Caenorhabditis elegans: one gene and its partners. The protein of the gene in region 3 interacts with the protein of the main gene of each other region in a pairwise test. Each region holds a gene or a part of one and is shown on either strand. Other genes may lie near its edges. The genes, in order: dpff-1, mmad-1, cpr-5 and hprt-1.

Region 1 (8,026 bases), on a different chromosome or scaffold from region 3:
CCAAATAAGCGAAAAGGGCAGCAAAAGGGTGCGAGAAAAGAAAGTGTTATGTTTTTGTTCTCACTAATTGACAGAAGAATAAACATTTTTAAACACAAATGGATGGAACAACGAGGAAAAGAATAATGATGTTGGATGATTGTAGAAAGTTGTTACGGTGTGGAAGAAAACGGGATTTTACAATGAAAATTTGGAAATTTAAATTTACATGCGTTCAGTTGCGTGGTCGTGAAAAATAAAAACTTCGGCCAAAAAAAAATGAAGGAAAATCAGAAGTACAATGAACTCGGCCACCAATATTTTTGGCGGTCAGAGATCTGCCGGTTTGTCAGACAGTGAGCATCACACGAAACGTGGGCAAAAACGCATAAAAATTGATGTTCTTTTTTCCTCTTCTCCCATCTCTCCCACATTCTCTTGTCCATTCAAATTTGTTCGTCTGTCCGGTTACTTGTTCATATTTGGATAGCCCTCAACCGAATCATAACTTGTTATGTTCACCCAGAGGAATTTTTGTTGTCAGCGGAAAGGGTATGTAAAAATATATATTATATATTTATTCATGAAGTTTTTTGTTGTAAAGTCAAGGATTTTTAAATTTGTTTTTAAGTTCATGGCCGCTTAAAAAATAAAACTCGGCCACTGCCTCGAAAAAGTATAATGGTGAATTATCACAAAAATTAATTATGGCAGAATATTTCAGATTAAACTTCACGGGTTTCAAAATTATTTGGAAAACTAGGCCATCTGTTTTTTTTCTCGGTCACTTTGCAATATCTTTGCAATACTTTGCAATAAAATAAGCGGTAAAGCTTTTGCCAAATAATGATTTTAACGAAATTTTCGCAATTTTTAATAGTGTTGGATCTTGGGAAACTGTGCGGTTTTTATTTCAAGACAATGACCGAGTTTTCTCCTTTCGAGGCCACATAACAAAAACCGAAGTTTTTGAACATTCAAAATACAACAAAACAAAGAAAAGTCAACACTTGAAAAGGTGAGAAATTTTTAGAAGAACAAAACGAAAAAAAGGGAAGAAATAGGCACTCGAACGGAAAACGGCGGTTTTCCAAAAACGATCACTTTTTGGAAAAAGTGAGGAGGAGGTGAAGAAGCCAATGTTTATTTTTGAGTGATTTGGATTTGAATTATTTATTATTTCAAAACTTATAAAATTAAAAAAAAATGCTGATCATTATTTTTTGTTGCAAAAATGTACACGAGTATAGTTTAAAAGTAGTCTCTTTCAAAAGTACACGAGACGGAAGTGGAAGTGTGTCTGAGCTTCTTGGCTTCAAAGAGTTATCCGAGATCCCCGGCGGCAAATTGAATCAGCTCCAAATTTGGAGGGATAGGAGGAGAACTGCAAGAGAAAATAGAGATGCAAAAACAAACAAAAATGTTTTTTTTTATTTCTAAGAAAGAACACAATTGTGTAATCGATATGTGTTGTTTCAAGTAAAAGACAAAAAAGAATGGAGAGTAGAAGGGACATAAAATTGGGCGATGAATAAGTAAAATAAATGGGTGAAAGATATTGGAAGAGAGAAGAATAGAGAAAGTTATAAAATAATGTTATGGTATTTATATGGTAGTAGGTCAGATAAGATGATAAAATGATAATAAAATGAATACAAACAGTTAATTCTCTTTTTATGAAACAACCAAAGTAAATTAAACATTCTAAAACGATAATTTTAGATTTTTTAAAACTAGATATATTACCCAGATACGAAAGTTTGCAATTTTCACTTAAAAATACAGTACCAGGTCTCGACAAGACCAAATATAATCTCCACGCCCCATGGTTTTGCAATTTTATTTGTTGTAATTTTTACTCTAAAAACCTATTGGATGTGACAATATTTATCTAAAATTAAACAATTATATATATTTTTAACTAGCTTAAATGAAAGAAAACTGCAAAACAGTGGGCCGTGAAGGTTACTGTACTTCTTAAAGGTGCCTATCTCTTTTCATTTGGATATATTCGATCGTTGTAAGACCTTGTATCGTACTCCAAGATGTTAATAAAAAAAATTGTCAATTAAACTGGAAAATAGTAATTTGAATTAGAATTTTCAATGTTCCGTTTGATTCTTTGAAACTTCCAATATTGTTCGAGTTTCTTCACATGTGTTTTATTTTGAATCATAGTATTTATTGAACTTTTTTATGATAAGACTGAAATAAATAAAAAGGACGAGGAAAATGTGGAAGTACAAAAAAGAAAAGAGCGAGAAATCAAAGTAGCAGAAGGAGGGGTGAGTGAGGTTTTAGGCTGGCTTTTTAGAACAAGAATTTTTCTCTATGTATGAGCCATTACGTAGTAATAATAATACTTAAAGTTCAAGTGAAAATGAAGAATAAATAATCGGATGACGGTGTGGGAGGATCGTAAGCAAACGGGTCGAGATTATGCAAAAAATATTGGAATAAATATAATATTTGAGAACCATTACTTCTTGGCCGGTGCACTCGCTTTGTCTCCGAATTCAACTTGACATAACCGACATGAATACTCATCATCTGGAGCTTTTTCGAGCGCCGGAGTCAGACAATAAAGATGGTATCCACGATCACAGTCGTCACAGAAGAGCAATTTATCCTGAAATCCAATTAATATTGCACTTTATAAATATAATAGAAAATATCTTACATCATTTTCACTTGTACCACAAATGGTGCAACTCTTGCACTCAAGACACTGCCATCCGCTTCTTTTTATGATTTTGGTCACATTTTGATTAAAATTAAGACAGGAAGGATGACCAGAACGACCACAATCATGACAACTAACGAGATCCTCTGGCAATTTTGTATTTTTGTTCATAAAAGCAGTGCCGCTGCAGAAATCACAGCTAGTAGATATTTCTATACTGGGAGACAATACTGAAAAATAATACATTTGAAAATAGCTTGGAATGCAAAAAACTTACACTTAACCAGTGGTTGACTAGACTTTTGATCATGAAGATACGACTGATGATAGCTTAAACCCGCGAGGCTTTTGTATTTCGCGCTGCATTCTGAAAATTATCAAAAATTTTAAATTACAAACGAAAGGACTTGGGAAATATGCGGTTTGAAAAGAGTATTTTCAAATCACAGATTTCCCATTATGCCACATCATATAAGCTTCCAGGAACACTCAGTACATGCTAAATTTAGTGCCTATATTTCTACAAACTTCCTCTCGATAGACCCCGTGTCCCGGGTGGGAGAGATGTATTTTTGATCAGTTGAGCGGTTGCCGCAGGATTTTTTACTGAGGTCCCTCTCGCCCAGGTTTCTTTTACAGAGGGATAAAATACTAGGAGGGATATAAGAATGGGATATTCAGGATACATATTGGCTTATGACTTAGTGCAAATTGATAACGAGAGGAAGGAAGCTAATACATTTGATAAGATCCACAATTATGTGAAGAAGTACTACAAATCACACCACTAATTATGAAACTAATATTAAAAAAAGATCATACATAATCTTCCAAAATTTATTTTTTAGACCAAATTTCCCATTTTTTTGATTTAATTTTCCTTGGATCTCTGGAGAAACATGCATAATTAAAAAAAAAACTAAAGCATGCAAAAACATAAATAATCTCGTGCAATTTCCAAGCATCCTAATTTTTTGAAAAATCTCGAAACCGAATGAATCAAGATACGAAAAATTAAACTAAAAATCATGATGATAGTGTTCCCGGTAACTGACATGCTGTGGGCGATGGGGGAGGCAAATAAGACTAAAAAGGACAAGAAGAATGGTGTGTTCTCCTGGGCGAGAGGGCTTCGCTAATCCGCCGTACAACCACTCACTGTCACATGGATACGTCTTCTCCTCCGGTTCTTCATATTTTGTTTCCTTCACTATGGAACGAGATGGGGTCAATCGAGAGACAGAGGAACGAGTTGTTGGTACCTAAACAGTCAGAATAAAATTATTTAAACAATTGAATAAATAAAGAAACCTTTTTACGTGACGAAGTTGCTTTCTGAACAGGCCCCAAGTTGCCTTTACGGCGTTTACGCGACGACCAATCATCTTCATCGGAGCCAAACTCGTCTGGAGAGAGCTCATCGTCAAGAACGTAGTCATCACGATATTCCTCTTTGATCTGTGTTTGGCGGGATGGTCTGATGGTAGTTGAGTCGTTCGAACTATCAGAAACACTTTCTGCAAATCGAACTACAAAAATTAGGTTGAATCGTTCTGATGCTTCTCACCAGTTGTTGGTCCGACAACTTGTGGAGTGAGATGATCAATTGCAACCTGAATAGACGGATTCTCACGCAAAAACATGCTCATCTCAACAGCATCAGATGGTGGCTGTGACTTGCTCTTCTTCCATCTCTCGGTTGCGAATTGAACAACAGTATTTGGATCATTTGATGGATACATGTGATCCACGTTGCGGGTTGTGAAGCGAGACTCTCGCTGGGCCGTAGCCGTTTGATGTTCATAGTATGGGAACCGCAGTCTGCAACTTTTAGGGGCTTAGTACAACCAAAAAATAATTCCTAAATGCTCTAAAGATTTATCATTACTTAGATTATTCAGATTTCAAATGGATCTTTTTTAAGTAGCCGAAACATCAATAACTAACCGTTTTTTACGATCCTCCATTTGCCGGGAATTCCATTTAATGCAGTTCCGCATCAGGTCCATATATCCGTTTTCCGAGATCATTGTCTGTAAGATTAGCTGTCTTGGATTATTTTTAAACATTTTGATAGCTCAAGAAATCGGGCGCCCGGTGTGAACAAACAAAAAAAACAAGAGAATGAATGAACACTGATCGATAAATTGGACAGCTGCCGATGTACGCAAACACCAACACGCGAAATTGCGTATTGTCCAGCGTGGACTCGTTGGCTGATGGACCTTTTGGCTCGAGTTTTCTTCTTCGTTTCCGGCCTAAAACGTTTCGTTTTTCAATTAAACAGTTTAAATTTTTTGCGATAATTGATTAATATGTAGCTACGCATTATGTGAATACCAAAAAATGGTTGAAAAGTTCATGTAGGCCTACAATTTTAGAAAATCTAGGTCTTTCGAAAACAAAAAAAAAACATTCGGTATTCAGAACGTTCGAACAAAATGCTCTATTCAAACATTCTAGTTTTCATAGAATATTTCCATGCATTTTACCTAGCGAATCGAAATGTTTGTTTTTTTGTTGAATGCAGGGTTATGTGTTTTTTAACTGTAAATACACGTAGTTTTTGCATTCAATGTTTAAAAATTTTGTCTTTATGTTTTAAGTTCCATTTTTTAGTTTTTTTCAGTAAACCTTTTTAGCTTCGTTGCGTTGTATTTGCATTTTTCAAAATTCCCACGTGGCACATTCAGTGCTGGCTTTTATTGCACTCTTTTTTGTCTGCGAAAGGAAAACTCTAAACCATTTCTGTTCGTTCTCCGGAACTTTACCGTCCATATAATATAATTTTCTCTGTTCCCTATCACTCTATCCGTTATCTTTTGATAAACAACGTTGACCTCGATAATTGAAAACATACCCATTCACTGGAATGAATAGGTGTTTTCCAATTCATTTCATATTTGCGTTTTCTTTTCTTTACCTGATGTATGTATCTAAATTCTCAAAGTATGATAATTTTTAGGGTCATCATGAACATCTTCCGTATATCGGCAGATATGTCGCACTTGCTTGCGATTATCATCCTTCTGCTCAAAATCTGGAAGAGCAGATCGTGCTCCGGAATCTCTGCGCGGTCGCAGATTCTGTTCGCTCTCGTGTTCACTGCTCGATACTTGGATCTTTTCTCCACATACATTTCTTTGTATAACACTACAATGAAGGTAACTTTCTGTCCGTAACAATTATAAATACAATCAAATTTCAGATCACCTTCCTCGCCGCTACGTACGCCACAGTGTATCTGATGTTCTTCAAATTCCGCTCAACTTACATGCGCGAGTCGGATACCTTCCGTGTCGAGCTTCTCATCGTCCCAGCTGCGATCCTCGCTCTTCTCATCAATCACGATTTCGCTCCATTTGAGTTGCTCTGGACTTTTTCGATCTATTTGGAGGCTGTGGCCATTCTTCCACAACTCTTCCTTCTCCAGTCTACCGGTTCCGCTGAGGTAAATCTGGAAAATAATAAATAATACAATAAATGCGCCAAATTTGACTTCAGCGTGCAAAATTTTCCCTCTCAATTCGACATGCCGTAAAAAAGTGTAAAATCCAGAGATGGCAAAATTGGAGATAGTACAAGAAAATTGTTGTGCTTAGAAATTGTCGTTTCTCCCGATTCCAACCGTTTTCCCCGTATTCCGAATTTCGCGCACATCTCCGCTGTAGTCCAAATTGATTCGTCAGCCTTTTAACTTTGCTAATATAACAACCTGATGAAATTTGACTGAAAGTTAATCCATTCTTTTCATAAGTTTTACTGTGTTGTTTGCAAACACTCGACATCTTTTTTTCTTAATTTCTTTTGGATTAGACATTTTGGTGTAGAGACGCAGACACCAGGCCACAAATTGAGCCTTCTATCTCTCTCCCATATTCATCGTTTCTTCTTCCAGGTCATCACTGCTCACTACTTGTTCGCTCTTGGCTCCTACCGCGCTCTCTACATTTTCAACTGGATTTACCGCTACTACACCGAGGACTATTTCGATCCAATTGTCGTTGTTGCCGGAATTGTACAAACTGTTCTCTACGCCGATTTCTTCTATCTTTACGTCACCCGTGTCGTCCAAACCCGTAAGGGTATGGAGCTCCCAATCTAAACGAACGATTCCCATCCTTTTTGACGTTTTTTCCTACGAGGTTATATTAATCTTTACGGAGTTGGCGTTATAATTCACACTAAGTCTGGTCACTTTTACTTTTCTTCTTTTTGATTGTTGGGAAATAATAAGAATGTGTGCCCGCCAAACTCCGTTAATTTATTTCTCTGTGTGATGATTTTTATGGGGGATTTCCAAAGATATCCATTTATTCAGCTTTTTAAAATAGAGATTTAATGTATAAATAATGAATTTTTCTGGATTTTTTTTGATGGAGTTGATGAGTTTTCTTCGTTCGGTTCGCTTACCGTGCTGCATATTGTTTTAAAAAAAGTTATTGATCGGTTCGTGATACGAAAATAGTTTGCAACGATTTGTCTCTTCCGTGCGAGACCTTAATCCCTAATCCAATTGCTCATCTTAAAATTATGTCTTAGACTTGAAAGAAACGAGCTAAACTTCCTTTTCTTTCCTCTAGTTGATGATTGATTTTAAAATATTGATTTCAGGAATAAGTCAGCTTACTATTCTTTGGAAAGGGTTCATCAATTCGATATAAATTCGAGAACGATGTCTGCAAATGCTGCTTGGGATGATAGCGGTTTGTTTTCTTACCTTCCAAGCTTCAACTTTTAAAAATCTTACAGACAGCGAAAATGAGAACGTGGTGGTCGAAGAGAAGCCAGTGATTCTTCCACGAGCCCGTCAACCATCAATAGCTAAGAGCCTTGAAAAAGTGCAAATTCTGGAGAACAGTGTTGCTGGTTCGGAGAAAAACGCTTCTGATGACGATTCAGATGCCAGTTCCGTGATGTCGGATGACTTGGAAAGTCTCGGAGAAACGACGGAAGTTCTCAATTTCTCTCTGGAACAACTCTCGATGATGAAGAAGAATCTCGCCCAATTTCCATGCAGTTACAAAAATATTATCAGCGAATTCGCTGACGTTGAAATTTTCTTAATCTCAATTGACTCGTTGATTGTTGAATGTGCTGCTCACAGTTATCACAACTGGGATGTAGCCGGTCAATCTATGGTTCTCAACAAACAAATCGATCGTTTCCTACAACAATTTGTCGATATTGGAGGACGATTCAAGCTTGTTGTCTTTTCTGATCTGACTACTCAATTTGCAAAGGACACAACTCTCTCATTTGCCCGATCTACTGCTCTTGCACATTTGGCAAATGGTCCACACGCTCGAGATTTGTTGTTCTTCACAAATCCAACTGATCCAGAATGGGACAAGCTTTTGAATG
Region 2 (7,328 bases), on a different chromosome or scaffold from region 3:
TCACATTCCCGTAAGTTTTTTTTTTAATTTTTCAGTGTTGTGTTTTCAGCGAAACAAAAAACACAAGAATTCAAGCTAAAACGTTTGTTTTCTCGATTGCCAGAAAAATCCCAAAATTCAATATTTCAGTGCAAATTTGATTTTTGAAGTGTGAAAACATTAAATAAAAAGGCAATTTTTAGTTCTTTTACTAATACTCAACACTTCAAAACAATTTTTGAAATTAAAAAAAGTGTTTATTTAAACTATTTTTAAGTTTCTAGTACACGAGAAAGTCTAACGCATTTCAAAAATCGCTACAGAACGGGGATACTGATTTTGTCCCCAAAAAATTCGTAAAATGACACAATATTGGGCTATGTTGATGTTTAAGCAGATACACTACACAGAAATTATTCAGAAACCAGACGTGTGTTAAGAATTCAATAGTTTTGATGCTCCAAAAACATCAATTTTTACTTTTGTTGAGCACGGCAAATTTGCCGAATTTGCCGAGCTCTGCAAATTTTGAGATTTGCCGCACCCCACTGATACGCAAATTCTTTCAGAGTAAACTTGAAAAAGATGAAATCCGCGTTGATTCCTGTGCTGATACTTCACGAGACATCTGAAATCGACGATGATTCACTGGAACAGATACGATCACAACTCTACGAAACTGAGTCAATTGCCTATACATCGTGTGATGTTATGATGATCATTGGAGCAATTATGCTGCTTCTCGGATTCCTATTTCTCTCGTTTTCGGTACTTTTTTTTATAATTTCAAAATATATTTTAGGGTCTCGCAACGATATTGTTTTATATCGGAAATTTTAACAAAAAACACATTTTTTTGCAGCTCGGACTCTGTGACCCGATTCTCGGACGGCGGTCAAAACGGGCAAATGGATTGTCACCGGAACCTCTTCCTCCGTATGTTCCGAAGGGAGAACCCAACGGATACCACCATAATCATGCCTACATGTGATATAGCTAATTAGATCCTTGAATTTTTGAAAATTGCAGAAAAATCGATAATTTGAGTTGATTTTGAAAATTTTTGCAGTTTTAACAAATTAAAAAAGTAGAGAGTTATATATATTTTTTGATTTCCCTAAAAAATTCGATTTTAAAATTTTTCTTTAAAAAAATTTATACAAATAGATTAAAGAACTGGTTTATTTGGAAAAAACTTTTCGAATTTTGAAAAAAATCCAATTTTCAAACCTTCATCGGTTTTTTTCTCAAATTTTCAACTTTTCCCTCTAAAAATAATATTTTCAGTCTCTGTTAATTTTGTGAATATAGCTTTACTTGTTTTTCTTCCCATTTTCATCACTCACACCATTTCCCCCGAATCCCCGTTTTTCCCCACCAGCTCCTCACTTTGATTTGTTCAATTTATTATGCACACGGGTCCCCAAAATCCCCCTAAAATTATTCCGAGATATTCTTGTACCATTTGACATGTAAATATATATATATATATACTCCATTTTATTTTCCTACTGAAAATTTGAAAATTTCCAGATTTTTATAGAATTTCTATACATAGTTGTCTTGCACCATAAAATGAAGCGATCTTGTTTATAACTTTAAAAATTATTTTTTTAAATGTGGTCCAAAACCCCTTGTTTCAGATATTTTGCTAAATTTTATAACTCGATTTTTAATAATTAATTTCTGAAAAAAAAAGTCCGAGTGCCAGCTCCTCCCACTTCTTGGCTACCATTCAAATTTGGCTTTTTGAGACAATTTAGAGAAAATTTTATTTCCGATTACTAACTGGAAGGTTTCAAAAACTTCAAAAATATGCGATAAATAATTTTATTAAAGAAAAACCGTTCGAAAACTCAAAATTTTGAAAAAAAAGCTCGAAAATCGATATTTCTTTTTTGCAATTCTAAAAGTGTTTATTCTTTTTTAGAAAATTTTCAAAAAATATCGAGAACCTAAAATTGCATTCTTGGGTTCCAACATCACGAAAGTCCACTGAAAAAAACTCCGAAGTGGACTTTGAAAATCCGAAAACTTTCTATTCGCCTCTAGACAATTCTTTTTCACGTGCAACAACTGTGACCCTTCTTTCATCGTTACACTTGTTGTCTTTTCGCTCTCTTTTCTTGAATTGTTGCACTTCTCACGTTCACCCAACAGATTTTAAATCAAAACAAAAAAGTTGGCTTTGAACAAGACTTCGAAGACTTTCAGATTATTTCAGGCTTTTTAATGATAGTAAATTTGGATTTTTGGATTTTTTTTAACTTTTTGGCTTTAAATCTTTTCAAAGATTATTTTTAAATTTTATTTTCTTTTTGAATTTTTAAATTTCTCGAGTTTTCGAACTTTTGGAAGAATTCTAAGAATCGTTGTTCTTGTCTCGGTTTTTTATGTATTTAAACCTTTTTTATTTTGTGAAAAATTCGGAGAATGCGTATTAACTAACATATTTAACGCGCAAAATATCTTACGAGATAGTAATTCTCGAACACTATAGTAATTCTTTAAATTACTACTGTAGTGTCGATTTACGGGCTCAAATAGTGAAAAAAAAAATTATTTGCGAATAGTGGGAGTTACTTTGTTTTTTCGTATTATTATCTCTTTTTTTGCTTAGTTTTAATGTTCTATCGATAAATAAATGTTTTTTAAATCGAGGCCGTATATCGACACAATCGCTACAGTAGTCATTTGAAGAATTACTGTAGTTTTTGCAACGAGATGTTTTACTCGTTGAATATGTTGCACAGTACGCAATCTTAGAATTATGTGTTTAATACTCAAACACAATAAATTAACAATTTAGGTCAAAGAAAAAAAAGAAACACTTTAAGATTACTGTACTTCTTAAAAGTACACGCCTTTTTGATGATATAATCAATATGTCACAAGGTTGAAAAATAGAAACAAAAAATTAGGAATTTAGATAACAACTAATTTGATCAGTAATTACTAGTGTTCTCAGTAATAATAATAATAATAAAGTTCACATGATTCGTCGCGCTCGTTCTTCGGTTTCCCTTTTCTCGTTTTCTCGGCGGTCTCCCCAATTTCAGTGTTCTCTAACCGTCTGCGTAATTCTCCCTCTAGCTGTCACTCAATTTCCAACAAACATGTCTTTCAATATTTTCTTCGTTTTTTCTTGCCTTATTGATTTCTTTCGAATTAAAAGTAAAATTTTAAATTAAAATACAAGTTTTGTTGCAGGATGTTGTCCGCCAAAGGTCCCCAAATGCGTGCGTTTACCCAACGTGTTGCCGCATTTTCAACGCAGGTGAGAGTTTGGATAATGGCTGAAAAATTGCAGATTTTATCGAAAAATCTTTTGTTTCAGAAAAATTAATTTCTTTTTGATTTACCGAATAATTCAATTTTTCTTTTGAAAAAAAGTAAGCGTTTTAGCTGCTTATGTGCTGAAAATCATAAAATTCAAATTTTCAGCTCCAAATCGACCCAATTCCAATCGTGTTCGTCGGAAAGGGCACAACTCGTAAGAAATTCAAAATTTCGATCGACATTTTCACAATTTTTCCACATTTCAGCTCGCCAAAACTCGCTTCTCGGCCCAAATGACAGTCAGTACCCGTTCCAGGGAGACGTCTCGTTTGCTCACAAGGTAAATTTCTGAAAATTGATTTTCCAAACAGACACCCAAAATTATCTGATTTTTTACTCCAAAATCAAATTTCATGTAAAAAATTTGAATTTTCGAAAATTTACCCATTTAAAATAATTCCAATTTAATTTTAAATTTTTTCAAAAACTCAAAATTTGCAGCCATTGAGCATCCGCCAACAAGTGGAAAACTCAAAAATCGAGCGTGTGATGGACGATACGGAGCACAATTTGATCAATTTGCTCTCCAATACAAATATCGAAGTTGACCGTACACATTTGGCTCAATTGAAGGAAGAAGCAATGGAAGAGATTCAGGCAAATGCGGCTGACGTTGAGATTGAACTTTCCGCTATTGAAGCACCAAAGTTGCTCAAAAAAGGTGAGCTGGAAAGCTGGGATTTATAGAAATTCTGAAAATGAACTTTTAAAAAATTAGTCTTTCAAAAAATCGGAAATTGAGATTACGTTCGAGTTAATATTAGTGAAAAATTGAAAAAAAAAATGCTTTGCAGAACTATATTTAGCAGGGGTGTGCGGTAAATTTGGTAAATCGACTTTTTAAAAAATTTACCGTGGTCGTCATACTCGGCAAATCGCAATATTTGTGAAGCTCAAAAAGTGAATTTAAAATTTATTTTGAATTTAAAACTCATAAATTCAAAAATCATTTTTTTTTCCAGAAATGAAATACCTATTCCCACAAATGGAGACTCAAAAGATGAACAACGTGACCGTGTTCAATCTAACTCAAAAGTCAGAATTCGACATGAAAGCATGGAGTGAAGCAATGGAAGAGGAACGTGAAAAGCTCACCGCCTCATTCATCATGTCCGCCAACGCGATTTGCTCAACTCTCCATCGTTTCGGCTATTGGGCTGATTTCATTGATCCATCTTCCGGCCGCCCGTATATGGGTGATTACACCAATCATACACTTTTCGAGACCAATGACGCCTACAAACAAATGGGCTTCAAGATTGAAGACCTCGGATGCTGCAAAGTTCTGCAACACGCATGCTGGGGATCCAACGCATTTGTGGGAACTATTTTCACTGATGCTCCTGTTGATGGGGATGCCGTCAGGGATATTTTGAAGAAGGTTACTCAGGAGGTACAGGATGTTGGAATTTCTGAAACCGAATTTTTGAAAAAAAAAAACGTAAAATTATGTTTGAAAAAATTTATTTTGATGTTCTTCCTGCTATCTAATAATGATAATCATTTTTCAGATTTCCAAAAAAAGGACGAAAATTATGTTTTTATTTCTGGGATTCTACAAAATTTCAGAATTTCCTTACATTTTGTAATTTTTGTACGATTTTCGACTTCACAAAAAATAAAACAAAGTCTTAAAAAAGGTCGCTCTTTCAAAAACCAAAGAGATATTTTATTGAATAAATTTTCGACTTCCTTAAATAAAAAAGTTAATTTTTTTAGATTGACGAATAGAGATTCCATCGAGCAATTTTCCAGTAGAAGCCCCGCCCACAATATGCCATAAATATGAGTCGATTCTCCTTCCATTTTGCACCCGTTGTCCCTCGCTCCACGTATTTTCTAATTTTTTTTTGTCTGTAAAATTTTTAATTTAGACTAAAAATTTGCGGTTTTCAAATGAATGAAATTTGCAAGCAAGCACTGTCTCGAAATTGTAAATAATTTAATGGTTGTTTTTTAGAAAAAAATAAATGTTTGTTAGAATCCACAATTCACTTGTTGTCACCTTTTCAAGTTACTGATCTGACGGTATTTTTTAAAGTTTTCTTCTTTTTTGAACTTTTAAAGAAATTGGTTTAAGCTGGAAATTTGAATTTTCTAGCAAAAAAAAACATACCAGATGACGATCATCAGTGAGGAGGACGAGGCGGACGTCTACACGTCGCAGCGATCAGAACCCCCAGAGACACGGATTTTCGAGACGATGGGGTTTTACTGGAAACGGATTATGGTTTGTGCAGAATTTTTTTTTGCTTAAAATAATTTCGTGGCCGTGTTTTGAGAAAAACTCGGTCACAGGTTTTTTTCGTGATCGCTTCTAATTTTACAAAAAACTTTGAATACCCTACATAGTAAAAAAGTTTGTAGAAAAATAAGTGCTTTTCAAGAAAAAATACATTTTTAAAATGCAATTTTAAAAACACTTCCTAAAAAAACCACTTTTTCAGAAAACCCTACCTACATTCACCACCCAAATTGTGTTAATCTTCTGTGTTCTGCCCATCTCATTCTCCATCGCCATCTTCCTCGCCACCGCGATTCTCAATTTTGGAGTCGCTTTTATTGCACAAAGTGAGAATTTTGATTTACAGATTGGAAAATGGAAGAAAAACCTTGAACAAACGGTCATGTATTCAAATAAATAGAGAGCTCTCGTAAATCGACACGATACAAGCGCGCTCCAATGAGAATTTCTTTGGGCGCGCATTTGAAAAAGTAATAGGAACGCAAATGAAATTCGCGAATTTCAAGCTGAAAAAAATGGAAATTTGTTTTAAATTTTTTTACATGGATATTCGGCATCAGGGGCAAATTTGGAGTTCTTTAAAAAATATTTCCCAGATTTCGGTACTCCACCTTTTAGATAAATACATCGGCGATTTTTGAATGTCAAAAAATGCTTACTAGAAATTCAAAATTTAACTTTGGAAACTTTTCGACGGGATTCAAATTTTAAATATTCAAAAAAATTTAGTAGCAAACTCAAGTTAACAATTTGGTTGCCAGAAAGTTTTTGACATAAATTCAAAATTTAAATTATCAAAAAATTTGGCGAAAAATTATAATTTTGTTTGACAAAAATAATGTACACACTTCTGGAGGAGTACACCAGCCGCGTAAATCGACACCCCGTGAAGCTTATTCCATCGAAACATTTCCAGCCATCTCCACACTGCTGATTCTGCTCATTCTGATCCCAACACTTGCCGTCTGTATCACAAGTGCCATCGCCACCGCCTATATCCTTCAGCTCACTCAATCGATATACCTTAGATTATCCCAGTCACCTCACTCTTCCCCAAATACCTCATATCCCAGAATCCATTCACCTCCGCCAATTTATGCTCCGAAATTTGAAGTTGAAGAGAAATTGAAGACTTGTTAATACCTATATGTATTTATTGTTGTTTCAATAGAACTCCGAATAGGTTTTCCACGTTGTACGTTGTACTTTCCCCTTATAGCTACCGGTTTCAGATTATACATTCCTTTATTTATATACTCTTGTACCATAATTTAGTTATATTAATGATTTGTTGATAACTTGATAAAATGAAATAAAATTGAATACATTTTTTACGATCGTATTCGGTATGTAGAAGGCTGTTTATTGTCATCTAGTGTAAAAATCCTTTAAAAAAATATTCAAAATGAAATCTGAACTCTCCTGGCAGGTTTTAAAAAGGTTCAGCATTCACACGTGGTTTCAGGCCATTACGGAGTGATCTACAAAAAATGCGGGAATTTTTTGCCAAAAAAATGTGACGTCAGCACGTTTTTAACCATACGAAATCAGTTGAGAGTTCTGCGTCTCTTCTCCCGCATTTTTGTAGATCTACGTAATGAGACACTCTGACACCACGCACATTTACAATTAACCAAATCTCTTACAACTTCCACCACTTTGACCAAACTCTATTCCAGTCAAAGTCGCCCCATTGCAGCCGGGTATTGACGAACTTTAAACCCGACCATTTCAGTAAAAAGAAACATAATACACTTTTTGTCTT
Region 3 (6,633 bases):
TTCAGAAAGTTACTAAAAAAATATTCATTGAATTTACATACGATTACGAGAACGGATTTGAAAATATTCTATAAAACTTTTATAATGCTCCTGGCATATTGGTATGAAACATGTTTATATGTAGCTATAATATTTATTTAAGCCGGGAGATATCACAATAAGCATGAAAATACTCTAACAAAACACCTAGTTACGTCGATTCAAGTCCGGCATCCCGGCGACCGCAGCACTCTCGATACCACATTCATCGACCCCTCTCAAAATCCTGAAGTAGCCTTTCTCGCCCCACACTGTATTCCAGGAGTTGGCCGCGAGCCAATACGGTGTACCATTGTCGACTCCCCAGCCAAGCATCTTCACTGCATGCCCACCAAGTTCTCCTCCAGCGACATGTGTGTAGATCCCGGTTTTGTATAGGTAGAAGTCCTCGTAGACAATGAATCCGACTTCTACTGGTCCGTGAGCCAGAATTTCGGTTTGAATTTGCTTCGCGCTCCGACCAATTGCATATGCACTTGCGCCTGAAAAATGTCAACCCTTATAGTAAATTTTAGGTTAGGTCAACCAACCAAAATGCTTATCCTGGTCATATGGAATCGGGTAGGAGTTGTTTCCAGTGCAGTGATGCTCACACTTTGGAGTATCAGAGATTTTCATAGGGCACTCAGGCCATGTAACTCCGTCGATAGTTTCGCCGCATGGAGCAATTGAATATGGCTTGCATCCATATTGCGACTCAAAGGATCCTCCGGTGACTAGTCCGTTCTTGACCCAATATCGCCATGCTTGGATTGGATAACCACCCTCACATCTGAAATTTGTAGAGTGATGTCTTAGAAGTCTTAGAAGCGCCAGTAGGGGAAATTATTAAAAATCACTCCTAGGGTGCCAAAATGACTAAAAAATTCTAGTAGAAACCTGATCAAAAAATTTTGCAAAATTTTTTGAATATTATTATCTGAAACATGAGTAGAGCATAAAATTCAAAGGCACAAAAAAATTTTTTTTTTTCGGGCAGACTAGGGCTCCCATGAAGTCGCCGACGCCGGCTTAACGGCGTCAACCACGCCCCATGTATCCGATTGTATTCTGCAGTGCGAAACCCCGAACGTGTCGGCCGCTTCCAAATAACTACCTTTTCGCGCTATGTTGCGCACACACCAAGCTACCCGTTTCACGTCAAGCTGCGAAACCCCGAACGTGTCGGCCGTTTCCAAATTATTACTTGTCACACCACTTTGCGCACACACCAAGCTACTTATTTCACGCCAAGCTGCGGAACCCGAACGTGTCGGCCGCTTCCAAATAATCACCTATCGCATTTCATTGCACACAAACAACGTCGGTGTGAGGCCGGCCGGTAAGTGGCCTGTGTGAGGCCCGCATTTCGCGCCTCAGCTGGGAGCCCTACGTCAGACTATTTCACAATCATTCACATCAATACTAAATTTTTCGCTACCTTATCAACTTACTCACCCATCGCCGCAGTTAAATTTTCCCGTGCAACACGTGAGTATGTCCTCAGCAGAAAGCAAAGTATTCACATCTCCGTTAGACGCGATACATGTTCTGTCAGAAATAGCCTCAGCTGCAGCGACGGCCCAACAAGATCCACAATGAGATTGATCTCGAATGTTGTTCACTGAAATGCATTGAGGCCAGTGATCACGTACATCATAGCTGTCTGGAATCGAGTCTGCGGTTTCAGCCAACTTGATATCTTTGTCCAAATGTGCAGCCACATGCTCAACTTTCATCAGGTTTTTCACCTCGAATGGAGTAGTATAGTGCTCAGCGGTCCACAGTTTTTGAGCAGAGTTTATATGATTGATAAATAGTTTATTTCTCGGAAGTACTACAGCAGAAGCAGCAAGTATAAATAGCAGAGACGGAAGTAGTTTCAGCATCTTTCGAAAAATAATGAAAATAAGTTGTGGTGAGGTCTTAAATGAAGTTTTGTTATCAGTTGAGTTGAGGGAAATTGTTTGTTCCGTCCATTCTACACTGAGTCAGAGTTTATTAGTATCCTGTTATATGTTTTAGGTCAAATTGATTTTTTGAACAATTTAATTTCATAGATTTGATTTAAACCGCCTATAACTATAAATGTTTGGAAGTGAATCAGAGCGAATTTCACAAATAATTTCTCGAATAAAGAGCACAGGCTAACTGAAAATCGGCCCAATGACCATTCCGGGCTGTTCTTTTTGTTCGCCAGTTAGCCGTCTGTAGTTTCGATAAGAGGCAGGCGCGGGTTCAAAGTCTGATGGCCTGCCTGACACCTGATCACCGAAAGCGGGCCTCCTCGCTTCAATTCTACAGGCATGAAATCAAAGATTTGGGGTCTACGCAACGCTCACTTTTTGGGTTCAGAGCCATATTATACAAAAGGCGCGGCGCGTGGCAGGCGGAGGTAGCCGCAAGGTGTCCGCAACATGGCAGCCTGCACGGGTTCCCTAGTCCGCGGTTTGTCTGCTGCCGTCAGGCCGGTTTTGAGCAAATCCGCTCCGTCTCCCACCCTTCTCGTAAAAGTTCGACCGGCCAATTTTTTTCAGCCAATTACAGAGATACTGAAAAACGAGGTTATACTTTAAATAATATCATAGCAAATTATAAAATATTTATCATCATTTCATAATATACACATGGAAATCTCCCTGAAGAATTATTTTAAAAAAGTTCCGATAGCAGCCTTAGTTGTGACGAGCCAAGTCTGGAATTCCGGCAACAGCCGAGTGCTCGATTCCACACTCGTTGAGTCCACGAATGATACGGAAGTATCCCTTCTCTCCCCAGGCGACGTTCCACGAGTTGGCGACAAGCCAGTATGGGGTTCCGTTGTCGACTCCCCATCCGAGGATCTTGACGGCGTGTCCTCCGAGGGAGGCTCCGGCGGTGTGTACGTACACTCCAGTGGTGTATTGGTAGAAGTCCTCGTAGACGGTGAAGGCAACCTCGATTGGTCCGTTCGTAAGAATCTCGGTCTGGATTTGCTCGACCTTCTTTCCGACGGCGTAGGCGGTAGATCCTAGAACTTCATAGTGTTAACCAGCGCCGCTTACACGTGTAAACTCACCAAAGTGCTTATCCTGAAGATATGGGGTGGCGTAGTTGTTCTTGGAAGTGCAGGAGTCGACACACTTTGGAGTTGGCTCGGTGTCTTCTGGGCATGCTGGCCACTTGACGCCGTTCACAGTCTCGCCGCATGGAGCGATCGAGTATGGCTTGCATCCGAACTGGGTCTCGTAGGATCCTCCGGTGACGAGACCGTGCTTGACCCACCACTTCCATGCCTGGATTGGGTAACCTCCTTCGCAACTGGAAAAAAATGGTTTTGAAAGCAACTGTGAGTCCATGCCGATCACTGTGTTCTTATCAGCAAGAACTTTCGATTTTGGAGATTAAAACTACGGCGCTAGAGATCATTTTGTCATAAACGGAATTTGTCGATTCTTATCGTTTTTGTGTAGACGCGTAGTTTTCAAATCAGAATCGGAGCCTTACCCATTTCCGCAGCTGAACATTCCGGTGCAGCACGAGAGCAGATCTTCAGATGAGAGCAAAGTGTTAACGGCTCCATTGGAGGCAATGCATGTTCTGTCGGAGATAGCTTCAGCAGCGGCGAACGCCCAGCAGGAACCGCAGTCAGATTGATCTCTAATGTTATTGATGGACATGCAGTTTGGCCATTGATCACGAGCATCGAAGTGGTCTGGAATAGCGTCGGAGACCTCAGTAGCGACAATATCCTCATCCTTGTGTGGCACCAAATACTTAACATCCATCAGCTTCTTGGTGATCTTCTCCTTTGGAATGACTTGATGTCCAGCGGTCCAAAGCTTTTGGGCAGAGTTGACATAGTCGATCAAAGCTTGTCCAGTGAGAGCTGGGGCTTCACGGTGTCCAGGAATCACCACAGCCGAGGCAGCAGCCACGAGAAGAATAGCGGAGAGCTTCCACATTATGAGAGAAGTGTCTGCGAAGGTTCGCGTCTAATGCTCATTAAGTAGTCGGTACGCATCATTCTTATCAGTTAATTTTATCAGTATCTTTTTTAAGAATTAAAAATTAAAAGGAATGTGACGTAAATGAGTCGCGCGCCAAATATACTTTCACTTGTCGGAATAGATCATTGATGTAAACATTTTTTAATACTGTAAAAATTCTAAGGGGATTAGGAATTAGGGATGAGCCTAATACCTAAGCTTAATGCCTAAGCCTAAGCCTGAGCCTAAGCATAAGCATAAGCATAAGCATAAGCAAAAGCATAAGCATAAGCATAAGCGTAAACCAAAGCGTACGCCTAAGCCTAACTCTAAGCCTAAGCCTACGCCTAAGCCTATGCCTAAGCCTAAGCCTAAGCATAAACCTAAGCCGAAGCACAAGCCTAAGCCTAAGAATAAGCTTAAAAGTAGGCATAAGCCTAGTCCAGAATTATTAAAGCAGATTTTATGAAAATCCATGAATTTTAGTAGAGCTGCATAAAATTTACTTTGAAGCAATTTTGTTAATCATTGTTCACCGAATAAGCTCCGCTTGCATTTCTTTTTGGATAATATGATGTAAATTTTCTGAACTTTGCAACTTCAAATCAATGATAAGAAAGCATTGAATCAATCATTTCTAACCCGAAATGCGGAAAATATTGATTTGCCTGATCGGAGTCCTATTTCAAGCCGATGGAGTACCACCTTCAGGTTTTTTTACAAATTGTATTTCTAGATTGAAAGCAATATTTTCAGAAATTGACCGGATAATTCATTATGTGAATTCGCAAAAAACTACTTGGACTGCTGGGATTCCTGCTCTGAGCCGGAATTCTATGCTGAAAACTCTTGTCACAGACGCTGCAACTATAGGATTCAAAATCCAGAATTTCGGGGTGTCACAAGCAAATTCCGATCTATCTCCTTCATTTGATGCGAGAGAACGTTGGCCGGAGTGCATGTCAATTCCACAGATCAACGATATTTCAGAATGTAGTGAGTTTTGCTTTAAATTCCAGAATATGAACGGTAATGGCCTAAATTTTTCAGAGACAAGTTGGGCGTTCGCAGCAGCCGAATCAATGTCTGACAGGCTTTGCATTAATTCCGGAGGATTTAAAAATACCATTTTATCCGCTGAAGAACTTTTGAGTTGTTGCACGGGAATGTTTTCCTGTGGGGAAGGGTGAGGTGTAGTTGCACGTCTCTACAGGTCCAGTGATCCTGTCAAAATTTAGAAGCGGATGGCAGGCAGGCAGGCAAACCTGGAGGCGTGTCTGCCTACCAACAAAAGTTTGCGAAGAAAAGTCTCTATCTTATCAACTTTCAAAATTTTTAAAGCTCGTAAATTTTTCAACATTGAGAAATGTATATTTAATCAATTTTCTTGCGGCGCGTGATGCAAATTTGAGAAAAAAGTGCAACAACTGCAAAATTGTTTGATTAAACGCAGACGTGCTTTTTATTAAAGGTGGAGTAGCGCCAGTGGGGAAAATGTTAAAAACTATTTATATGGTGCCAAAATGACCGAATATCATAATAAAACGTTTCGAAAAATTTTTGAACTTTTTTTATTTACTGTCAGAAAGTGACAATTACTCAGTTTTTGCCACTCATAATTTTGGAAGTCGACCAAAAAAAAAATGTTTTTCCTACATTTTTTATACTTTAATTTTGTTTTAATTATTTATATTATAACATTGTAGGGGTCGAAATATGCGACAATGCTTTGGATTTCCTTAAAAACTCATATTTTTCAAAATTGTGGGAATTTGCCAAAACTTTGGCCGGAAATTATTAGGTCACCAAACCATCTGTAAACTATTTTTACACATAAAAATTATTTGAGTTTGAAATTTGAATCTCAAGAAATATTCAAACAACTCAAAAATTATCCGAAAAAGATCTAGAATTTTCGACAAAAATTTTTTTGAAGATTTTTTGACGACCAACCAAAAAAAATTTTTTTGGACGGATTTTTTTTCCAAACGTAGTTTTCTAATAATGTATTCTAAACAAAGCAAAATCCGCACACAAACCTCAATTCAAAGCTGAAAAGAAGCGAGATCAGAAAAATGCCTGAAAAAATTGGCTCCGAGTTAGGACTGGGGTGGTCAAAAAATTTTGTGACTGTTTTCAAATGAAAGATCATGGTCAATAACTCAAATTATCAAAGTTTCATAAAAATCGCTACTCAGCGAACAAAGTTATGATTTTTGATCCGGAACTTATTTGGTGACCTAATATTAACAATCAGAAATTTTTTTGGAGTGTTTTATTATGATATTTGGTCGTTTTGGATCATTATAAATGTATTTAGATAAAATCCCCATTTTATATGTTTAAAAAATTATCAGATCAGGAGAATGCCTACTGTTCAGCATAATAATGCAAAAAGATCCCACTGTTTCAGGTGTGAAGGCGGGAACCCATTCAAAGCTTGGCAGTATATTCAGAAACACGGTATTCCTACCGGAGGATCCTATGAATCGCAGTTTGGATGTAAACCTTACTCTATACCTCCATGCGGAAAAACTGTTGGCAATGTGACCTACCCAGCGTGTACAAATACTACATCACCTACTCCGAGTTGTGAGAAAAAGTGTACTTCACGAATCGGATACCCAATTGATATTGATAAAGATCG
Region 4 (9,609 bases), on a different chromosome or scaffold from region 3:
CAAACTCCTAAAATTCAGTTCAAAAAATCAAAAAAAAAGTACAGAACATACACAGAGCCGTCGCCAAGGTAGTCGCAATGCAAACATGCTCCACGGAGAAAGTAACAATACGTTGCGTTATTGCACAAAGCGACGCGAATTGATATCAAATAATGGAAAAAAGGGGGTGAAAAAATTTGATTTTTTTATGAATAGGTGGTGAGAGAGATCGAATTGAATTAAAATTAAAAATTAAAAATTAAAAATTTTTTTTTAAAAATCGATTATTCTGGCGGTGCTCCAGTTCCAGTTCCGGCTCCGGCGGCAGCGTCACGCACACGAATTTTCTCCTTGATCTTATCATTTTCCTGCAGGAGGTGCCACTTTTGCTGTTGCAATTTGGTACGTGTCTCGTTCAGAACTCGTTCTTCCTGAAAAAAAAACCAAATTTTTTTAAAATTTAATTTTTTTGAATTGGTGGCCGAAATTTTAACGGCGGCCACGAAAACTTACATGTTTCAGAGCATTTAGCTGCTCTTCGATGAACTTTTTGCGCGAGTGCTCCTCGTTTCTCTTTTCCATTTTTTTTTGGTTCTGAAAAAAACATTTTGTATTGATTTTCTCTTAGATTTCACAAAATATGACCTATTTCTTAAAATTTTTTGGATGAAAAATTAATTTTTTTCCAAAATTTTTTAATACAGATATATTCTATTTATTGCGGGAACACAAAACTCTGAGAATACGTATAGCACAACATATTTGACGCGCAAAATATCTCGTAGCGAAAACTACAGTAACCCTTTAAATGACTACTGTAGAGCGTTTGTGTCGATTTACGGGCTCATTCGGTTCTTCGCATTATTTGGTCATTTTTAGCTGAATTTCAATACTTTATCGATAAATAAATTAATTGAATCCATTTAAGCCCGTAAATCGACACAGTAGTCATTTAAAGAATTACTGTAGTTTTCGCTACGAGATATTTTGCGCATTTAAAGAATTACTGTAGTTTTCGCTACGAGATATTTTGCGCATTTAAAGAATTACTGTAGTTTTCGCTACGAGATATTTTGCGCGTCAAATATGTTGTGCAATACGCATTCTCACAATTTCGTGTTCATGAAATAGTTTTGCTAGGTGGCCGAGAAGTGAAAAACTCGGCCACATGTTTTTTTTCGAATATCGAGAAAGTTCGGCCATCGTTTTTTTTAAAATCAAACAATTTAGATTTTTCGTTTAAAAAAATTAATTTCAAGCTATATTTTTATTTTCCTCGAAATTTTTTTTCTAAATTCTAATTTCTCGTGGATTTTGAATTTTTTCGATTAAAAAACTGAAAAAAAATTAAAATTATCAGAATGTGTAAAAAAATTTTTTAAAGCTATACTGGCAAAACGCGGTATTTTGAAAAAAGATTTTTTAAAAAAATTTCAAAAAAAAAAAAAAGCAAATGAAATTTCTCGACCATCGATTTTTTTTAATCGGAAAAATTTTGATTTTTCCCAAAAAAAATTAATTAAAAGCAATTTTTCTTGCAATTTTTCTCTCTATGGAATTTTAAAAAATCTACGGTTTCTCGTGGTTTTTGCATTTTTTTTTCGATTAAAAAATTGTGAAAAAATTTGGTCATTTCAAATATTTTGTAGGACAAAACCTTGACGGTCATAATACACCGAAAATTAGAAAAAAAAACTACAATTTTGAAGCAATACATGTATATTTTTAAAATAATGTATATTTGTTTTAAAAAAATTAATAACGAATTTAAAGCAGATCACAGTGTAATTAGGAATAGCAGAGCAAAAAAAAAACAATTAGACATTCAAAAATTTCAATTTTTTTTTTCAAAAAAATTGTAAAAATCCAAATTATTCCGATTTATATTTCTCAATTCCAGCAGGGCTCATGACACAAATATGTCCGAGATCTCGGAATTTCTGATTATAATCCAATCCGTAGCCAACAATAAATTTGTCAGGAATCTCAAAAGCCACGAAATCCTCTGGAACATCCACGACACGTTTGACACGTTTCGACAGGAGAAGGGCGGTCCAGGTCTTCTCAACGCCCGTCTCATGTAAAGTTGAGAGAAGTTTTGCAAGAGTTCTTCCGGTATCCGAAATATCATCCACAACGAGCACACTTTTCCCCTTGAGCTCATCCAAATTCGATAGTCCCATTATTTGAATTTGTCCAGTACTCATTTGATCCTCGTAACTCTTTACTCGAATAAAATCGACAGTCATTGGTTCAGGACACGATGAGCGAGCATTTGTGAGCTCTTCGACGAGGGCAGTGAAGAATTTATAGGATCCTTTGAGTACGCAGAGCAGCGCGATTGGTTTGTTTCCGATTTCAGCGTGGATGTCTGAGAAAATTATATGATTTCTGATTTTTTACTAAATCACTGCAACTTTTTCCTCACGAGGGACGAGGAAAAGTGGTTTCTAGGCCATGGCCGAGGGGCCGACAAGTTTCAGCGGCCATTTATCTTGCTTTGTTTTCCGCCTGTTTTCTTTTGTTTTTCACAGCTTTTTCCCGTTTTTTCTTATTAAAACTGATAAATAAATATTTTTTGCAGATGCTAAAACAATTTCCAAGTAAAAAAAATCATGTATTCAGTGGGCAAGCAGCGGTGAAAGTGGGCATTGTAATATGATGGATTACGGGAATACAAAACCTAAACTTTTCCCCAAACATGATACATATGCTGCTTAAATGCTGAGACTACCTGATTTCCATAATGAGACGTCTGAAAAAGTATTGAGATTTTCAAAATTCAACTTTTTGTGCGAAAATCTCGACCTTTTCACCAAAAAAGTTGAATTTTGGAAACCTCAAAACTTTTTCAGCGGTCTCGTTATGAAAATCAGGTAGTCTCAGCATTTAAGCATCATATGTATCATGTTTCAGAAAAAGTTTAGGTTTTGTATTTCCGTAATCCATCATTTTACATTGACCACTTTCACCGCTGCTTGCCCACTGAATACATAATTTTTTTACTTGGAATTTGTTTTAGCATCTGCAAAAAGTATTTATTTATCAGTTTTAATAAGAAAAAACGAAAAAAATCGATGAAAAACGAAAGAAAACAGGCGGAAAACAAAGCAAGATAAATGGCCGCTGAAACTTATCGGCCCCTCGGCCATGGCCTAGAAACCACTTTTCCTCGTCCCTCGTGAGGAAAAAGTTACAGTGTAAATCGAAAAACGAAAATTTTCCGGTATTTCTAATTTTTTCAGATTTTTCTAAAATTAGCTTAAAAGTTTGATGACTAGGTTTTTTTTCTTCAATATAAACAAAATTAGAAAAAAAAAAAATAGAATTTTCTGATCAATTTTCCAGCAAATATAAAAATCGAAAATTTTTAGAAGTTTTTTCAAAAAAAAAAAAAAAATTTTGGCAGTTTTTAGAAGAAAAATTTTTAAAGAAATTAAAGAAATAATATTGAAGCAGAAAGTCTTGTTTCTGAAAATAATTGTTTTTATTCGAAACTTTTCCGTCATCGCATTTCTTCAATTTCTTCAAAAAAAAATGTATCAACGAAAAATTGTCCATTTTCGGATTTTCCGTAAAAAAAACTTCTAAAATAGGAAAATTTTTTTAGTTTCCGAAAAATCTGAACAAAAATCGAAAAATCGAAAAAAAAAATTAATCATAAAATTCGATTTTCTAATCTAATTTTGTTTATATTGTTAAAAAACATGAGAAAAATTAAAAATGTCTTCTAAAAAGAACAATTAGAACACAAAATTTCAAGGTAATTTTAGAAAAATCGAAAAATAATTCGAAATTTCGGAAAATCGAAAAAATTCCGTTGACACTTTTTTAGAGGAAAATTTGAAATTTTTCTGTATTTTTTGAAATCCTTCAATCCAAGCTCCCTTATACTTGAAAATGGAAGAGCTGGAATCCTCTTCCACGGCCCTGTGTGTCGATTTACGCAGCCCTCGTGTACTCTTCGAGGAGGAGAAGACGATTTTACAATTGTCACGTAAATCGACACATGGCCGTGGAAGAGGTTTCCATCTCTTCCATTTTCAAATTTGAGGGAGCTAGAAGTCCGTTGTAGGGCTATTAGAGAGAAATTTTTAAATTTTAACTGTTTTTACCTTTAGCCAGACGACGAACACGATCTCTAACAAGACCTTCCGGAATCACGACACCGGATAAATCACCGTCATAGCAGATTGGAATGTCGAATGCGTCGACTGGGAGCTGCAAAAATTAAATATTAATTTAAAATTTTACAATTTCGCCATAATTTTGCAAGAAACGACGTTTAAAAATAAATGAAATTGCACATTTTTAGCCCAAAAATCAATTAGACTACAAACTACAAATCTTTCTAGCCTCAACCATGTTGAAAATGTTCGAAATTTCACAAAATACTTGAAAAAGTTGAAAATTTTTGACTGAAGATTGCAGATTTTAACTATTTTAGAACAAAAATATGGATAATATTGTTCTTTTTAATTGTTGAAAACTAGTTTTTCTGGGCAAAATTTTGGAAAAAAAAACGTAATTTTTAATGAATTTCTGCTGATATGAGGAGAAACGGTTGCAAAATTGTGAGTTTTTAGCTGAAATGGATAGAAATCGAGAATTTTTTGTTAAAAAAAATGTCAAAAATTAACTGAAAATCACGTTTTCGGTCAATTTTTGGTTCACACTACAAACTACAACTTTTTCTAGCCTCAACTAACTTTGATGAAGCTGAAAACTCTTGTAGTTTGTAGCCTGAGAGCCTCACCAAAAAAACTTAAATTAGCGAAAATTCAAAATTTATGGATATTTAAGCATTTTTCTTGAATTTTTTTTTTGTCTCCAGCTGCTAAATTATAAACTTCCTGCAGTTTTTTTATTTCAGTTAAAATTCAAAAATCTGAATCAAAAAATTGCTGGAAAAGTGAAAAGTTGGTTGAGGCGTCAGATCACAAACTACAATGTTTCCCAGCCTCAACCAACTTTGGTGAGGCTGAACATCATTGTAGTTTGTAGTCTGAGAACCTCACAAAAAACTAAAAAACTGTTTAAATTCAAATTTTATAGAATTTTAAGCCTGTTTCTTGGATTTTTTTTCGTTTCCAGCTGCTAAATGTGAAAATTGCTCTCGAAATCGTGGCAATTTTCATTCGAAATTCAAAAATCTGAATCACAAAAATTGATGGAACCACCGTTTGTTGCGGTGTCACACTACAAACTACAATGTTTCCTAGCCTCAACCAACTTTGGTGAGGCTAAAACTCGTCGTAGTTTGTAGCCTAGGAGCCTCACCAAAAACTAAAAAAAAACCTGTTTAAATTAAAATTTTTTGATTTTTTTTTTGTTTTCAGCTACTAAAGCTTGGAAATTTCATGCACATTTGGCAATTTTCATTCGAAATTTTTTAAAAATCCTGAATCAAAATTGTTTGAAAAAATTTCTGGAAAAGTTGGTTGAGGCGTCAGACCACAAACTACAATGTTTCCTAGCCTCAACCAACTTTGGCGAGGCTAAAACATCGTTGTAGTTTGTAGCCTAGGAGCCTCACCAAAAACTAAAAAAACTGTTTAAATTCAAATTTAATGAAAATTTAAGCACTTTTCTTGAATTTTTTTGTTTCTAGCTGCTAAATGTGGATATTTTTCTCGAAATCGTGAAAATTTTAATTCAAAATTCAAAAATCTGAATCACACAAACCTCAAAATCATCAGGAATGACAGCACGAGTTGGAGCCATTTTCGAAAATGAAGAACTATTTTTCTGAAAAAAAGAAAAGTGTGTGAATGGTTATTTAAAAGAGACAATATTATCTTATCAATCAAAAAAAAAAAGAAGATTGATCAGATTATCTTATCAGTTGAAATAGACGGCGCGACGATGAAAGTTACGAACGTGTCAACGATAAATGTTGCATTTTAATCGAAAAAAAACGCATCATTTCGTTTATATTGAAGGGGAGAAGTTAACAGAACAAAAAACATATAACAATGGTAATAATAACAGGTGAAAAAGAATAGAAAAAACGAATTTTCCGGGAAAAACGAGAACAATTATTAAATCATCAAATCCATCCAGCGTACTCGGCAATCACATCTTTATTGTCTTTTCGGTTACGGCCCACTGCGCTTTGCTTTCCTTTGACCTTCAGTCGAATCTGGAATTTTTGGATAAATTTTAGAAATTTTTGTGGTATATTGATTTATACTGAAGGTTGGAAGGATTTCAGAATTTTTTTAAAAGAGTTTTACGAGTTTGGAAGGAAAATATTAATAAATTACAGTAAAGTAGAAATTAAATACTTTTTTATTAATTTTTGAGATTTTTGTGAATTTTTTTTTTTGTAAAAAAACGTATTTTCCAAAAAATTTAAGGATTTCACAGTAAAAAAAACTAATTTTTAATGTAATGATCAGTCGAAAATTTCAAGAAATTCCAAAAAAAAAAGATAATTGAAAATTTTTGCAAAGTTTCACACAGAAAATTTTAAAAAAACGAATTTCAGACAAAAACTGGCCACGCCCACAAAATGGACGATACCGAAAGAATTCCTATATAATTTTTTGCAATGTTTCAGATACAGAAATTTCGAGAAAAAATATTGTCAGACAAAAACTGACTCCGCCCATAAAATTGTCGGTTTTCTAAAAATTTGAAATTAAATATATGATGACTTATTCCAAATTTTAAGTACGTTTCTATGAACAATATTTCAAAATCAGCAAACTAAATTCTTTTTAAAGCAACATTTTTTTAGAATGACAATGAAACACAAAATTCAAAAAAAAAAGCGAATTTAGGACAAAACCTAGCCATGCCCACCACAAAATGGATGCTCAAACGTGCAATTTTCAAAAAAATATAAAATAATTACTATGATGCCGCGTAAGTGATTATTTTTCAGAATTTTTTCAGAATTCGCTTTAAAAAAAAAGGAATTTTAGACGAAAACTGGCTCCGCCCACAAAATGGTCGGTTTTCTAAAAATTTTAAATTAAATTTTTTTCTATGAACAATATTTCAAAATCAGCAAAACTAAATTTTTTTTAAAGCAACATTTTTTTAGAATGACAATGAAACACAAAATTCAAAAAAAAAAGTGAATTTCGGACAAAAACTGGCCACGTCCACAAAATGGATGCTCAAATGTGCAAAAATTCAAAATTGCACATTTGAGCAAAAGTTTGAACAACTCCGCCCATTCTGAAATTTCGAAAAAAATTTTCACAACAAAAACAGTCTTCGCTTATAAAATGGCACTTTTGGTACAAAAATGACCAGATTTATACCGTTTATACCGTTTATTATTTTTTGAGTTTTTTTGAGAAAAAAAGTTTTTTGTTTTTTTTTAAAGTTTTTAATGAAATTTTTAATCGAAATTTTCAAAAAATTCAAAAAAAATTTGATAATTGAAAATTTTTGCAAAGTTTAACACAAAAAATAAAAATATATATTTTCAGACAAAAACAGGCTCCGCCCATAAAATGGATAAAATTTCCACGATTCTACGTGGCTGAACATTTTTTTGTTGCAATGTTTCAGGTACAAAAATTTCGAGAAAAAAAATTTGAGGCCCCACGAAAAGGGGATCTGCGAAAAGGGGAGCTGGCACTGTGCCAAACGCACAAAACGCTTTTTTATTCTCATTCAACGCACGACTTTTTTTTGTATTTTACGCTAAACAACGCGCGCGATGCGTAATAACGGAGTGTGGTTATAACAAAGTCGTGCGTTGAATGAGAATAAAAAAAGCGTTTTGTGCGTTTGGCACAGTCACTGCAACTTTTTCCTCACGAGGGACGAGGAAAAGTGGTTTCTAGGCCATGGCCGAGGGGCCGACAAGTTTCAGCGGCCATTTATCTTGCTTTGTTTTCCGCCTGTTTTCTTTTGTTTTTCAAAGCTTTTTCCCGTTTTTTCTTATTTAAGCTGATAAATAAATACTTTTTGCAGATGTTAAAACAATTTCCAAGTAAAAAAATTATGTATTCAGTGGGCAAGCAGCGGTGAAAGTGGGCATTGTAATATGATGGATTACGGGAATACAAAACCTAAACTTTTTCTGAAAAATGATACATATGATGCTTAGATGCTGAAATTACCTGACTTTCATAACGAGACCGCTAAAAAAGTTTTGAGGTTTTCAAAATTCAACTTTTTGTGCGAAAATCTCGACTTTTTCACCAAAAAAGTTGAATTTTGAAAACCTCAAAACTTTTTCAGCGGTCTCGTTATGAAAATCAGGTAGTCTCAGCATTTAAGCAGCATATGTATCATGTTTCAGAAAAAGTTTAGGTTTTGTATTCCCGTAATCCATCATATTGCATTGCCCACTTTCACCGCTGCTTGCCCACTGAATACATAATTTTTTTACTTGGAAATTGTTTTAGCATCTGCAAAAAGTATTTATTCATCAGTTTTAATAAGAAAAAACGGGAAAAAGCTTTGAAAAACAAAAGAAAACAGGCGAAAAACAAAGCAAGATAGAAGGCCGCTGAAACTTGTCGGCCCCTCGGCCATGGCCTAGAAACCACTTTTCCTCGTCCCTCGTGAGGAAAAAGTTGCAGTGACAGTGCCAGCTCCCCTTTTCGTATCTCCCCTTTTCACAGATCCCCTTTTTGCAGATCCCTTTTTTGGTCTGCTCCCCTTTTCGTGGGGCCTCAAAAATTTCAGACAAAAACTGGTGCCATTTTTTTTCTCGATTTTCGGTACAAAAATGAGACCTTTTCCTTATTCCTCTTTCTATCCAAAGCCAGTCGCCTCTTAACATCTTCAGCCGTAAACGTGGCAGCACTACTGGCAACACTTCTGGCTCCACTTGGCACTCTCTTCTTTTTCACAACTTTTGCCACCTGCTCCTCAACTGCCACGTGGCCATCCGCGTCCTCTTCCTCCCCCTCCTCCTCATCTTCATCATTTTCATCGTCATTTTCAGAATCGGCTGGACGCTTAAAATCCTCCGGCGGCAACTCAATATCCTTATAACCTTCCTCCGATTTCAGAGCATCAAGATCCACGGCTTCCAGTTGATTTGTGGCGTCTGAGAGCCAATCTGTGAAGCGTGTCGTCTGGGAGAGCACGATTTTCTGCTGTTTGACGGTGTTCTCCTGAGCCTGGAGCTCTTCGTGGTCTTTTTCGAGATCCTCAGGCTCTTCCTGAATGTCTTCCATAGATTTAGAGTCATCGGAATCATCTTCATCTTCCCCCAAATCCTCCTCCTGCCGATTCCTCAATTCCTGCTCACAATGTGCCAAAAAATCGCCTTCATCGTACGCTTTATTCAAATCCAACGCCATTTTCTTGGTGAATCCCGACGCTTCGAGCAGTACATCCATATTCCCTTTCCGTTCAACTTCATCAAATTTCGGCCAATCCTCGCTTTCATAGTCGAATTTTCGTTTAAAAAACGTCCGAACACATGTGACATCTCGATCGAAATAATATTCCGCATTCGGATGATCAATTGATACCATTTGTGGAAAATCAATCATCACAATTCGCTCGTCTTCCAGCATAATTAGGTTGAATTCATTGAAATCTCCATGAATAACTCCGTGCCGAGCCATTTTCACGATAAGAGCCATAAGTCTGTCGTAGAGGGCGCCAGCGTCTTCCACGTGGGTCACATTGCAGAGAGTTTGACCAACA

Evidence for each region.
Region 1: the proteins of cpr-5 (region 3) and dpff-1 interact in a two-hybrid assay, tested with the Caenorhabditis elegans proteins (one large-scale study listed by BioGRID).
Region 2: the proteins of cpr-5 (region 3) and mmad-1 interact in a two-hybrid assay, tested with the Caenorhabditis elegans proteins (one large-scale study listed by BioGRID).
Region 4: the proteins of cpr-5 (region 3) and hprt-1 interact in a two-hybrid assay, tested with the Caenorhabditis elegans proteins (one large-scale study listed by BioGRID).

The regions. Positions count from the first base shown.
Region 1 is NC_003281.10:5,901,424-5,909,449, forward strand, and holds dpff-1 (Zinc finger protein dpff-1), read right to left. Parts: upstream 4,700-8,026; 5' UTR 4,693-4,699; coding exon 4,610-4,692; intron 4,484-4,609; coding exon 4,230-4,483; intron 4,192-4,229; coding exon of another isoform or gene 4,180-4,191; coding exon 3,974-4,179; intron 3,925-3,973; coding exon 3,822-3,924; intron 3,030-3,821; coding exon 2,940-3,029; intron 2,893-2,939; coding exon 2,660-2,892; intron 2,609-2,659; coding exon 2,459-2,608; 3' UTR 2,140-2,458; downstream 1-2,139. Other genes in the region: ER lumen protein-retaining receptor erd-2.2, read left to right, coding at 5,635-5,826, 5,871-6,113, 6,561-6,767; putative helicase C28H8.3, read left to right, coding at 7,338-7,368, 7,415-8,026. UniProt on the Caenorhabditis elegans protein: Probable transcription factor, involved in meiosis and stress protection.
Region 2 is NC_003281.10:13,544,867-13,552,194, reverse strand, and holds mmad-1 (Methylmalonic aciduria and homocystinuria type D homolog, mitochondrial), read left to right. Parts: upstream 1-3,189; 5' UTR 3,190-3,190; coding exon 3,191-3,256; intron 3,257-3,423; coding exon 3,424-3,472; intron 3,473-3,524; coding exon 3,525-3,598; intron 3,599-3,759; coding exon 3,760-3,979; intron 3,980-4,280; coding exon 4,281-4,711; intron 4,712-5,037; coding exon 5,038-5,049; 3' UTR 5,050-5,306; downstream 5,307-7,328. Other genes in the region: scav-2 (SCAVenger receptor (CD36 family) related), read left to right, coding at 1-10, 549-747, 842-970; Y76A2B.4 (uncharacterized protein), read left to right, coding at 5,438-5,548, 5,766-5,889, 6,480-6,703.
Region 3 is NC_003283.11:1,129,993-1,136,625, forward strand, and holds cpr-5 (Cathepsin B-like cysteine proteinase 5), read right to left. Parts: upstream 4,045-6,633; 5' UTR 3,963-4,044; coding exon 3,505-3,962; intron 3,319-3,504; coding exon 3,077-3,318; intron 3,029-3,076; coding exon 2,694-3,028; 3' UTR 2,606-2,693; downstream 1-2,605. Other genes in the region: W07B8.4 (Peptidase C1A papain C-terminal domain-containing protein), read right to left, coding at 187-521, 570-811, 1,477-1,907; cpr-8 (Peptidase C1A papain C-terminal domain-containing protein), read left to right, coding at 4,634-4,697, 4,743-4,982, 5,037-5,172, 6,400-6,633.
Region 4 is NC_003279.8:14,653,490-14,663,098, reverse strand, and holds hprt-1 (Hypoxanthine phosphoribosyltransferase), read right to left. Parts: upstream 5,745-9,609; 5' UTR 5,704-5,744; coding exon 5,665-5,703; intron 4,201-5,664; coding exon 4,095-4,200; intron 2,351-4,094; coding exon 1,851-2,350; 3' UTR 1,604-1,850; downstream 1-1,603. Other genes in the region: Y105E8B.6 (BZIP domain-containing protein), read right to left, coding at 264-410, 493-561; riok-2 (Serine/threonine-protein kinase RIO2), read right to left, coding at 6,029-6,121, 8,685-9,609.